Linked DNA regions of Sus scrofa. The protein of the gene in region 2 interacts with the protein of the main gene of each other region in a pairwise test. Links are inferred from orthologs where the notes say so. Each region holds a gene or a part of one and is shown on either strand. Other genes may lie near its edges.

Region 1 (3,646 bases), on a different chromosome or scaffold from region 2:
AGAAATGGACTGACCCGGGTGAGTGGTGAGCCACAGTGGGAGCTGGCAAGCTGGGGCCTGGCCTGGAGTCAGGAGCTTGTGGAGAGGCAGGCTCTGACATCTGAGCCCCGGGAGGCTGGACCCGTGCAGCTGGGAGGCTGGGGAAGGCGGATGGATGAGCTCCCACAGGACTCAAGGCCATGCACTGGGGCTGCGGGGGCAGGTGGGTGGGCTGAAAAGGGGCTGAAGCTTGACCTTGGATGTGATGTTTATGTTGAGGGTGGGTCCTCCGCCGCAAGGGTCCATCTCCTCCAGCTGCTGGGTGTCCAGCCCTCCAGTCCCCCCTCCCCCCACCGCCGGCAGCCCACACAAGCTCTCTTCCTGGAGCAGAAAAGGGTCCCAGGACAGGTGAGGGCGTCTTGACAGCTAGGGCTCTGTGTGATCTCCTGGGGGACCCCACAGACCCATGGGGCCATGAGGTTCTCTGTCATACACACAGCCCCAGGGCCCCACAGACTCCTGGCTGAGCTCTGTGCTGCGTGTGGGGCTGATGGCCCACCACCCCTGCCCACCCCTAGGTGTGAGTGTGCACCAGGTTACACAGGTGACAACTGCAGTGAGAACCAGGATGACTGCAGGGACCACCGCTGCCAGAATGGGGCCCAGTGCGTGGACGAAGTCAACGGCTATACCTGTGTCTGTGCTGAGGGCTTCAGGTGAGCAGTCCCTGGATCCATCACGAGCCACTGACTCCTCTTAGCCATCAGCCTCTGGGGCTGGCAGGAGCCCCCGGGTGTGGCTAGCAAGAGGGAGTAAGGGTCAGAGCCTGGGCGCTGGGTCCCGGGGCTTTAAGCTTGGCTGGGGTAGTCACGATCTGTGTGGTCTGGGGAAAGTTTCTTAGCAGCTCAGAGCAAAGGCAAAGGGCCCCTGACCTGTTTGCTGGGCAGAGTGGGAGGTGAGTACAGATTACTGGGCAATGCCCCATCCTTTAGCTGCCCAGTGAACCCCTGAAGACATGTCCTGCATTAAAGGTCATTTACCTTTGCATCTTGGCCTCTCTGGTAGGCTGGGAGGGGAGGGCACCTGCCCACCTTCTGGCCACCCACCTCCCATGCTCTGCTTGTGTCTTTTTTTAAAAAGCAGTTTTATTGAGATATAATTCATATGCCATACAGTTTACCCAGTTACAGTGTACAATTCATTGGCTTTCGTAGTTTCCCAGAATTGTGCAGCCATTGCCACAATCAATTTTAAAATATTTTCATTACCCCAAAGAAACTCCACACTCTTATCTGTCATCACAGCCCCTCTCCATCCCAGCTCTAGAAACCACTAATCGGTAACATCTGTGTCTATAGATTTATTTATTCTGAACATTTTGTATAAATGGAATCATACAATCTGTGGTCCATTGTGGCTGGCTTTCACTTAGCATCATGTTTTAGAGGTTCATACACATGGTAGCATGTCACAGAACTTCATTCCTATTTATGGCTGAATAATATTCCGTCGTATGGGTCCATTCATCACTGATAGACATTTGGGTTGTTTCTTCTTTTTGGCTGTTGTGATTATTTGATGCTATAGAGTCCTCTCTCTTTCGCTTGTGTCTTAAGTCGCAGCTTTCTTTTCTATAAAATGGGTATAGTCAAACTTGCTAGCAGAGTTTGTTGACACGAGCAGTGAGTGCTTCTTAAACTAAGGTGCACACAGGTCACCTGGGATCTTATTAAAGGTCAGATTCAAGGAGTTCCCATCATGGCTCAGTGGTTAACAAATCCGACTAGGACCATGAGGTTGTGGGTTCGATCCCTGGCCTTGCTCAGTGGGTTAGGGATCCGGCGTTGCCGTGAGCTGTGGTGTAGGTTGCAGATGCAGCTTGGATATGGTGTTGCTGTGGCTGTGGCGTAGGCCGAGGCTACAGCTCTGATCCACCCCTAGCCTGGGAACCTCCATATGCCACGGGAGCGGCCCCAGAAAAGGCAAAAAGACCAAAAAAAAAAAAAAAAAAGCCAGATTCAAGAGCCCATTTCTGACAAGTGCCCAGGCAATGTTATTGCCACTGGTCCAGGGACCACACTTGTTTCTCAGCATCCTTCTGGCTCTTAGTTCTCTCTGGGAAAGTGTTTATTAGGAGCATCATCTGATGCTTTAAAGGCACAGTGTTCCAAGATGTTTAGTGAGTTTCTCTCCAGGACTGTGGGAGAGAGATGATGACTCCTTGCTCCCCGGCCCTGTCCCCTCTGACCTGTGTCCTTTCCCTCTCAGTGGGCAGCTCTGTGAGACCCCTCCCCACCGGCCTACCCCCAGGAGCCCCTGTGAGGGGACTGAGTGCCAGAATGGGGCCAACTGTGTGGACCAGGGCAACCGGCCCGTGTGCCAGTGCCTCCCGGGCTTTGGCGGCCCCGAGTGTGAGAAGTTGCTCAGTGTCAACTTCGTGGATCGCGACACGTACCTGCAGTTCACCGACCTGCAGAACTGGCCGCGGGCCAACATCACGCTGCAGGTGCGTGCCCAGGGCGCCCGGCCGCAGAAGGTGGTCAGGCAGCAGGGGCTCCTGGCCTCAGGTCAGAGCATCAAGATGCATCCCTCCCAGGATGGCTGGGAGGATCCTGAGCTGGTCCAGACTTCTTGGATGTGGGTATCAGGATCTCAGCTTGAACTTGTTTGAGCTCAGCTGGAAAGGTTATTGGGTCACAAAATCAGTCTCAGAGAAGGGCATGGGTGACTGGACCCAGAAAACCAAACTTCCGGGGTCCTCTCCCACCAAACTCTTGTCTCAACAACTCCTCAAAGCCTCAATTTGAGCCTCCCGAGCTGCAGACATGCTTCTCTATGTGGCAGGAACACAGCCACAGCTAGCCCTGGCTTCTATGTCTATGTACATGTCCCAAATGTCCCTGGGATCCCTTATTTTGCCATTCCATGTCCTGAATCCCATCTCAGAGCATCATTATGAGGGAAATAGAAGCAAGTCTCACTTCAACAGCAGTGTTATGTTAGCCAAGTATTTCTTGGCACAGGAGAGTAGTTTGCCCTGGACATGACACGATACAAAATTTTAAACTCCTCTTTAGTCATCTGTCTCTTTTCCCCAAATTCCATCCCAAATGCGCATCCTTCTTCTCTCCTTTCTTTTGTCCTCTTCTCCTTTTTTTCTCAGAACCCTTCCACCTCTCAGACATACTCACTCTGCTGTCCTACCCTTGATCCCCTCTCCAAAATCCTCTCCACTTATATGGTCTACACAGCGAGACCACCGCTAGCCTCACTGCTCCACAAAATAAAACTCACCAAGACCCTGCCCAGCCATTGCCTCAGGCACATCCTTGGAGATGCTCAGTTTATCCCACCCTCCCCATCACTGGGCTCTTCCCACCAGCTCTAGTTGGACAGCAGGCAACAACCGCAGGGAAGATCTCTGGTGGGCCTGCCTTAGGTCACATGCCCATCCCCGACCCACCACTGAGTCCAGGGAGATAGGATGCTATGATTGGTCCAGATGGGGCCATGTGCCAGCTCTACAGACCAGGGGGCCAGGGTCTTGACCCAAAAGGGACAAGGCAGAAAAAAAGACCATGGCTCCTACAGCATCGCAGAGGGTTCTCCCTCCTAAGGTACAGCTCCAGCTTTTGCTTGCATGGCTCAAGGGACAGGTGCTACCTCC
Region 2 (3,746 bases):
AAAATGTCCTGTCCACCATCAGCCATCTGTCCACTGCCCCTCCCACCTGCCAGCCCCCACCCCCACTTCAGCTGTGCAGTAGAATGGGGGGGGGGTGGATGAAGGAAGCTCTAGCACGCCTAACATTCGCCTCCAGGAAACGAGAAACGTTTCTGGGGGTGGCGGGGTGGGAGGGGAGGTGGAGGGGGAGTTCATCGTACTTCACTGTGGTCTCGCCCTTTGAGGCCCAGGTCGGTGTACACAGGCTCCTGGGTCCTAGGGAGCCGGCAGATGGCCTGCAGCGCACGGCCCGGCCCCCACGCTGGCCACGTCGGCTAGCGTCATCTCTCTCCCCCGCCTCCTACCCCTCAAAATCCGGCAGCAGAGTTGCTCCGGATCCCGCAGGGCTCCCAGAACAGAGCTGAGTGGGGAGGAGAAAGGGGCGGAGAGCGAGGAGAGAGGGAGGGCGAAGAGCCGGGCCACCCCCGGCCTTTTCCGGCAAGCTTAGCTCCCAAGGTTCACCCGTTCCCGAGCATCGAATTACAGCAGCTCCCCGTTGCCACGCTAACAGCTCGTGGGGGTGGGGGAGGAACGGGGGCTTCAAGACCCTACAGGGAGAGGGAAGTTTCCTTTCTTGCGCTTGTCCCCTCCACGCCCACTCGGGTTCCCCCAGCCAGCCCTCTGCGCACTTCCCTCTCCTTCCGGAGACCTGGTGGTGGCCCAGCCTCGTCCCCCGCCACCGTTCTCGGCTCTCCTCACTGCCCCCAAGGCATCACAGAAGGGACGGCAGTGAAAGCGCCCGGGGAGCGACCCTTCCAGTTCCTCGCGTTCCGGGCTCAGCCAGTGTGCAAGTGGCGGCCCAGCGAGCTCCCTCCCACTGACTCCCGACCCAAGAGAGCGCGGAGCCCTCTTGGCGTCTCACCTCTTGCCAGTTCCTCTTTCTGTGCACGGTGGGGAGGGGGGCGGTGACCGAGGATGGCTCTCAGCCCCCACCTCCCGGAGGGGGGCGATCGGAGTCGGCCACTCGCAGAAGGCAGCCCCTGCTCCCCTTCGCCCCAACGCTGGGAATCTGCCCCTGCAGCCGCCGCAGCTGCTGCTGCCGCCCGGGCTGCCTGGGGGGGCGACTGCGCGTCACCTAGACTGAGGAGCGCCGGGGATTTAAATGCCACTGAAAGGGTGATCCATCACCGCAGGAGCCAGCAAACTTTCGCAGGAGGCTCCGCCATTGGCTGAGAGAGTCACGTGCCCCTCCCCTAGCGCCCTCCGCCCTCCCGCCCCCCCTCTTGCGCACTGTACATTCATATCATTTTTCTTCTCCGGCCCCATGGAGGAAGTGAGAAAGTTGGCACGGTCACTCAGGGCTTCGCAGGACCCGGTCACTCAGTGACAGATGGACAATGCAAGAATGAGCTCCTTCCTGGAATACCCCATCCTCAGCGGTGGCGACTCGGGGACCTGCTCAGCGCGAGCCTACCCCTCCGACCATGGAATTACAACTTTCCAGTCGTGCGCGGTCAGTGCCAATAGCTGTGGCGGCGACGACCGCTTCCTAGTGGGCAGGGGGGTGCAGATCAGCCCGCCCCACCACCACCACCACCACCACCACCATCACCACCCCCAGCCGGCCACCTACCAGACTCCTGGGAACCTGGGGGTGTCCTACTCCCACTCGAGTTGTGGTCCAAGCTACGGCGCGCAGAACTTTGGCGCGCCTTACAGCTCCTACGCGTTAAATCAGGAAGCAGAAGTAAGTGGTGGGTACCCCACGTGCGCTCCCGCTGTTTACTCTGGAAATCTCTCATCTCCCATGGTCCAGCATCACCACCACCACCAGGGTTATGCCGGGGGCGCGGTGGGCTCGCCTCAATATATTCACCACTCATATGGACAAGAGCATCAGAGCCTGGCCCTGGCCACGTATAATAACTCCTTGTCCCCTCTCCACGCCAGCCACCAAGAAGCCTGCCGCTCCCCTGCATCAGAGACGTCTTCTCCAGCGCAGACATTTGACTGGATGAAAGTCAAAAGGAACCCTCCCAAAACAGGTCAGTCTTGCCCTTCCATGAATGATCCTTGATTATTCAGGAAGGAGCCGGTATGCTTAGTTTCCAAGGAAAATTAATCAAGGTTTTGTTTTGTTTTTTTCTTTAAAATTCTTGCTTCCCACCGGTGTTGTAGGGTGTTGGGAGGCTGCCCAGGTGTGGTTGGCACAAAGGAACATCTGGGATTGTTGTGTTTCCAAGGGGGCTGAGTTTTAGAGGTTTTGGAAGTAGGACGTGGGAAAGTGGGTAGGTGTGTATGTGTGTGTTAATATCTCCAGGCTCCATTAATCACTGGTCTGACCATGCTAATGGGTGACTTCAGATGAACGCTTTACACCTCATCACTCACCCTCCCAAGCCCGGCTTGTGTTGAGAAATTCTTGATTCCCCCTTTGCCTGAATCTTGCTCTGAAGCCTACAGGGACTCTCATATCGAATATAAATTTTTTCCCCTTTTTTCCCCATCGCTTCCCCTTGCCCTCAGGGAAAGTTGGCGAGTACGGCTACGTGGGTCAGCCCAACGCGGTGCGGACCAACTTCACCACCAAGCAGCTCACGGAGCTGGAGAAGGAGTTTCACTTCAATAAGTACCTGACGCGGGCCCGCAGGGTGGAGATCGCCGCGTCCTTGCAGCTCAATGAGACCCAGGTGAAGATCTGGTTCCAGAACCGCCGAATGAAGCAGAAGAAACGAGAGAAGGAGGGCCTCTTGCCCATCTCTCCAGCCACCCCACCGGGCAGTGAGGAGAAGGCCGAGGAATCCTCCGAGAAGTCCAGCTCCTCGCCCTGCGTTCCTTCCCCGGGGTCTGCTACCTCAGACACTCTACCTACCTCCCACTGAGGCCGCCCCAGCCCCAGACTCGACTCTTCCGGCTGGGACTTCTTTCCCAAAGCACATTCTTAGCTTATCTTCCTGTCCATTTACAATCTCTCTCTTCCTCTCTGATCCTATCTGGGGAACTCCTGGCCAGGATACTGTGTTTCCAGTGAATTCTGGATTAGAGACTGGTGTGGGGGCAGGGGAGTGCTAGCTCCGCAATGCAAATTGAGTGCCAACATCAATTTTCTCAAGGCCCCTAACGCCCCTAGTTTTAGGAGATTTCTTTGACAGACCCTACAGTTCCTTTCAGATGCCCTTTGGAAAATAGTCTCCTTTGCCAGCAGAAACATGTCAGAGGGAGGCCTCTCATCTTATATCTAACCGTGTATTTACAGTTCTCCCCTACTCTGCCCTTAAAGTAGGATAGAGAGAGAAGAGAGTCCAGGAGCTCATGAGGAAGAGATGCACTATGAGCGTGTTTACACAATTAATTCACCCCTTAATTTAACTCAGTTTCATGTGTGTGAGTCTGCTGGTTGTAAATACTTTGTCCTGAAAGATTTATCTTTATACAGATTTTCTAGAAATGTTTAGATTAAGGGATGAAAATAGGGTGGGCAAACTCTCTAAGCTGGTACAACTTTGTATGTGATTATAGGTTAAAGACTAAAAGCTCCCAGTAAAATCAATCAGAGGCCTCAGAGGGTCGCCTCCGTTTGTTCTTTCAGCAAGTTAAGAAAGCCTGCAGCATAAAGGGTCAGAAACCTGGCTCCCTGGGCTGAGTCTCTCCCCATCCCCACGCCTTTCTCCTTTCTCTGGCCACACTCTTTCAAATTTGCGCTGGAGTATTCAGGACCCAAACGTATTATTTCACACCAGCTTCTTCCCTCCACAGTTATTGTAGCT
Region 3 (3,746 bases), on a different chromosome or scaffold from region 2:
AAAGAACCTTTGATAAAAATCGAGTCCTTTGCTAAGCCACACTCGCTTAACTTCACACCTCTTTGAACCCGCCCCCCCACCCGCGCCGAGACTGCATCCTCTAGGACCCCGCTGCTGCAGCTGTTTTATTCCTTAAAGACAGATTTCTGGTTTCAATCGTTCTCCTAAAGCGCAGGATAAAATAACGCGGGCTGGGGGTGACCGTGAAGTTGCAGGAGACTGGGCACGAGAGCCTCTCATACGGGGAGGCTCCCAGGTCTCCAAAGCGCCCGCGAAGCCGCGACCCCCGGCGCCCGAGCGCGAGCCCCCGCCGAGCCCCTGCGCGCCGTGGGCGCCGAGCCGAGGCGGGCGCGCGGGGGGCGGGCGGCCGGGGAGGGGCGGGGCCGTGACTCACTCGGTCGCGCGCCCGAGGCAGAAGCGGCACCTCCGGCCGAGCGGGGCGAGGGGCTGCGCCCGCCCTCGGGGCGCATGCGCGCTACCGAGCGGCTCCTGCTCCCTCCCCGCCCACCTTTCCATCCTTCCCCCCTCCCCCTCCCCTCCGTCCTCGCTTCTGTCGCTCTCTCCTCGCCCGCTGGGTGCTGAAGTTGGGCGGATGGCAGCAAACCGGCTCTGCTAGAGGACCGAGCAGCCCAGCCTCGCGCCCCCGGACGCATTGGTGCGCTGCCCACACCTCCAGGCGACTGGGTAAGATGTTGCCTCTGAAACCGAGCCGCGCTAAGTAAATGACATCAAAATGTCTGCTTTGCACCGGTGGTTGAATTTTTTTAGAGGTGGGGGAGTGCGGAGGTGAAGGAAAGAGGGGGCGGAGAGTACAACTGCCTGTGCTCTGAAGAGGGTGGCGGCCGGCTTGGGGGTCTCCGCTCAGCCCGCAGCACCGCGGGAGGAAGCGGGGGCCGAGCTGCAGGTTTGGGAAGTTGAATCCCGCGTTGTAGCCTCGGCGCGGTCCGCTTGTCGCCCTCCGGCTGCTGCGGACCCGCTGGGCAAGTGTCCTGCCCGCCCAGGGAAGGATCCTGCCCACAGTCGGGTCCTCAGCGGAGAGCTGGACGCCTCGGCGATTCGACAGGGAGGGCCAAGGGCGGCGGGAGACCCCGCGGGGCGCGAGGTCCTGCCGATTTGGGTGGCTGTTTGTTAGAAAACCGAATGTGAAATTAACAGTGTCCAGTCGACCGATCACCTCGGGGTGTTTTTTTTTTTTTTTTTTTTTCCTTTACCTTTGGGGAAATGCAGGTGAGGGAGGTGTGAGCCAAAGGGGGTGCAGAAATGCCTACCTTGAGCATCGGTAATACATCTGAGGTGTGTGTATTTAGGGGGTGGGGGCCTCTTTTGTTCTTTCCGCTCCTTTGGTCGATGGAGAGGGAGTTCTCGTGTGCTCGGCTTCGGGTAGATTTCACAGCCTTCGAGGGGGCGAGGAGGTGGAACGCCCACCAATCCCCCAGCCACTGCCCAAGGTGGGTGTATCCGAGACTCTCTTTCTGTAGGTGATGATGATTCTTTGTATAATCGCTAGAATTACGGTTTCATAGCTGCTTACTCGCCAGCCTTCCTCCTCCTCTCCCTCTTCATGTGCTGCGGCAGAGGCTGGGTGCAGACACTCGGCCGTTTCCTTTACTCCCTACCTCCCTGTCTCTGTGAAAAATGTCGGAGGACTTGAGGATGGCGGAGAGATAGGGCTGGCCTCTTCATCCTTAGAGAAGCCAAGGATGGGGAGGTGGTCCTCGCAGGCGGGAGGCTGCTGGCAGGGTGTCCCGGGCAGCCCAGTGCCGGCCTCGGGAATCGCTGGGCTTCAGAAGGCAGAGCAAGGGTCGCCTGTCCAAAAAGATGCCCGCGGTGTGGGGACCCGCCCTACTCCCTCCGCCTCCACCCGGGACACCCACTCACCTGGGACAATCTCAGTCGCTCTGGCGAGACTGACCCCGGCGCCTGGCATAGTGGATTTCCTAACCTCTCTGACCCTTGATAAAGGTTTCCTTCTTTAAAACAGTCACTCGAAGGTTTGTCTAGAGAACTTTGCAATCTTCCCGCAGTTGTTTCTTCTTCTTTTTTAAAATTGTTTTACAGCCGGCCTATTTCCTCCATGTGATGGCTATCGCAGGTAATAGAGAGAAATCTTGTAGTTGGATTCCCGCAAGCATTTCTGAGACTGAATGTCATCTGCATTTCCGGCGTTCATACATTCTGGTTTTCCGGGTGATGAACCCTCTGAAAATCATTTAATTGGAGAAACGAGAAGCAATTTGTATTCTTGTAATGGAAAATAATGTTTTTCTCCTGGTTTCATAGCTGCTTGGCATTATGTGTATTAAATACTTTTTTCAAAACTGTGAAACACTTTGGGTAAATTGTATTTGTTTCTAAAGTCCTTGGTGGTAACAATAGCAGGTCTCTATGAAATATACGTTTTGCACTAATATCTAATGGAAAGGTGATTTATACTCATTCATCAAATGAATGAGCAGTTTGACCTCTTCCACTTAAGTGACTGTTATCAAGCTGTTTCTTCTGTTAGCATGAACTAAAACAGTAATTAGCACACTCACAGGAGAGTAGATTTATTCACTGTTTTTACATTCTTAAAAACTGTATTTAGAGAAAACATACACTTTTTAGAGATGAGAAAACAAGTATTTGTTTTTACAAAAGGATTAGATGGTATCGTTGGTTAAATAAGATAAATCTCCATGGCAATGATACCTGATCTCAGAGCCATGGACAACTCATCCTTCCTCCTGAATTTGTGGTCTGAAAGATAAAGAGAACCTCCTACTTTACAGAGGTGTCTGCTCTTCCAAATGCTGCCCTTTTTGCTCTGGTTCCTCAACTGCTCCTTGGTGTTTAGTCTCTGTGGAAAAGAATTAACTAGGAGAGTTATCCGCTATTCCTGTTCAATTTTAAGTCATACAGCTTCTTCTTCACAAATAGATTCTCTCTCAGCTTTTAGGAAATTTTCCTACAGGGTCCTGACTTATTGGAACTCATAATGTTAGCGTCTAAGTCATTATCATTCCTCTGGCCTTGTTATACTTTTTGATGATGGTGGTGATGAAGATGGTGATGATGAAGACATGCCTGAACCTGTCTTACCATGAGGGCAAGGGGCTTTGAAAAAAGGGACAAATGTGTGTATCCTCATCCGTTTGACCTTATAACAGCCAAATCTAAAAACTAAATCGATAAAAATTTCGGTTGGCTCATAGACTAAAAAGTAAGAAAGCATTTACCTGCTAATTTACAGTTGTAGAGATAGTGGCCTTCCTTAGAAATCTATTTGCTGAAAGGCATGGGTTTTTCTGGAAAAGTGAAAGGTGGGAATGGACAAGGAGAAATGGAGCCAAGAGGAATGGAACCCATCCAACTGCGTTTCTGCTGAGAATCCTTTTCTTGATAGTCCAGCTCTGCTTAGTTAATAATGAAAATATTGCACCACCCAGAAAGGCAAATGCAAGGACCACTGTATACCCAGTGGTTGAGAATAACTATGTGAGGTTAAAAACCATTTTATTTCATCTGATTACTACAGGTCGAGTATAAGCACGGAGTCATTATAGAGACTTAGAATTGTGACATATTCAGGGAGTATCCTGGATCCTCAAAAATATTTTAAGTTTTTATGGTAAGCTTAAAGAAATAAAACAGTTCTGGAGTTCCAGTGTGGCTCAGCAGGTTAAGGATCCTGCGTTGTCACTGCAGTGGCCTGAGTCGATGCCGCGGCTCGGGTTTGATCCCTGGCCCCGGGAACTTCCACAAGC

What was found.
Region 1: the proteins of HOXA1 (region 2) and SLIT1 interact in binary tests that used the Homo sapiens proteins (3 or more experiments, as listed by UniProt). The link is inferred for Sus scrofa from reciprocal best matches to the Homo sapiens genes HOXA1 and SLIT1.
Region 3: the proteins of HOXA1 (region 2) and RGS17 interact in binary tests that used the Homo sapiens proteins (3 or more experiments, as listed by UniProt). The two-hybrid records come from large-scale screens. The link is inferred for Sus scrofa from reciprocal best matches to the Homo sapiens genes HOXA1 and RGS17.

Annotation. Positions count from the first base shown.
Region 1 is NC_010456.5:108,453,472-108,457,117, reverse strand, and holds part of SLIT1 (slit homolog 1 protein), read left to right. Parts: intron 1-557; coding exon 558-695; intron 696-2,247; coding exon 2,248-2,485; intron 2,486-3,646. UniProt on the Homo sapiens protein: Thought to act as molecular guidance cue in cellular migration, and function appears to be mediated by interaction with roundabout homolog receptors.
Region 2 is NC_010460.4:45,476,291-45,480,036, forward strand, and holds the start of HOXA1 (homeobox protein Hox-A1), read left to right. Parts: upstream 1-1,270; 5' UTR 1,271-1,369; coding exon 1,370-2,024; intron 2,025-2,505; coding exon 2,506-2,861; 3' UTR 2,862-3,746. UniProt on the Homo sapiens protein: Sequence-specific transcription factor. Regulates multiple developmental processes including brainstem, inner and outer ear, abducens nerve and cardiovascular development and morphogenesis as well as cognition and behavior.
Region 3 is NC_010443.5:13,339,799-13,343,544, forward strand, and holds the start of RGS17 (regulator of G-protein signaling 17), read left to right. Parts: upstream 1-1,202; 5' UTR 1,203-1,260; coding exon 1,261-1,448; intron 1,449-3,746. UniProt on the Homo sapiens protein: Regulates G protein-coupled receptor signaling cascades, including signaling via muscarinic acetylcholine receptor CHRM2 and dopamine receptor DRD2.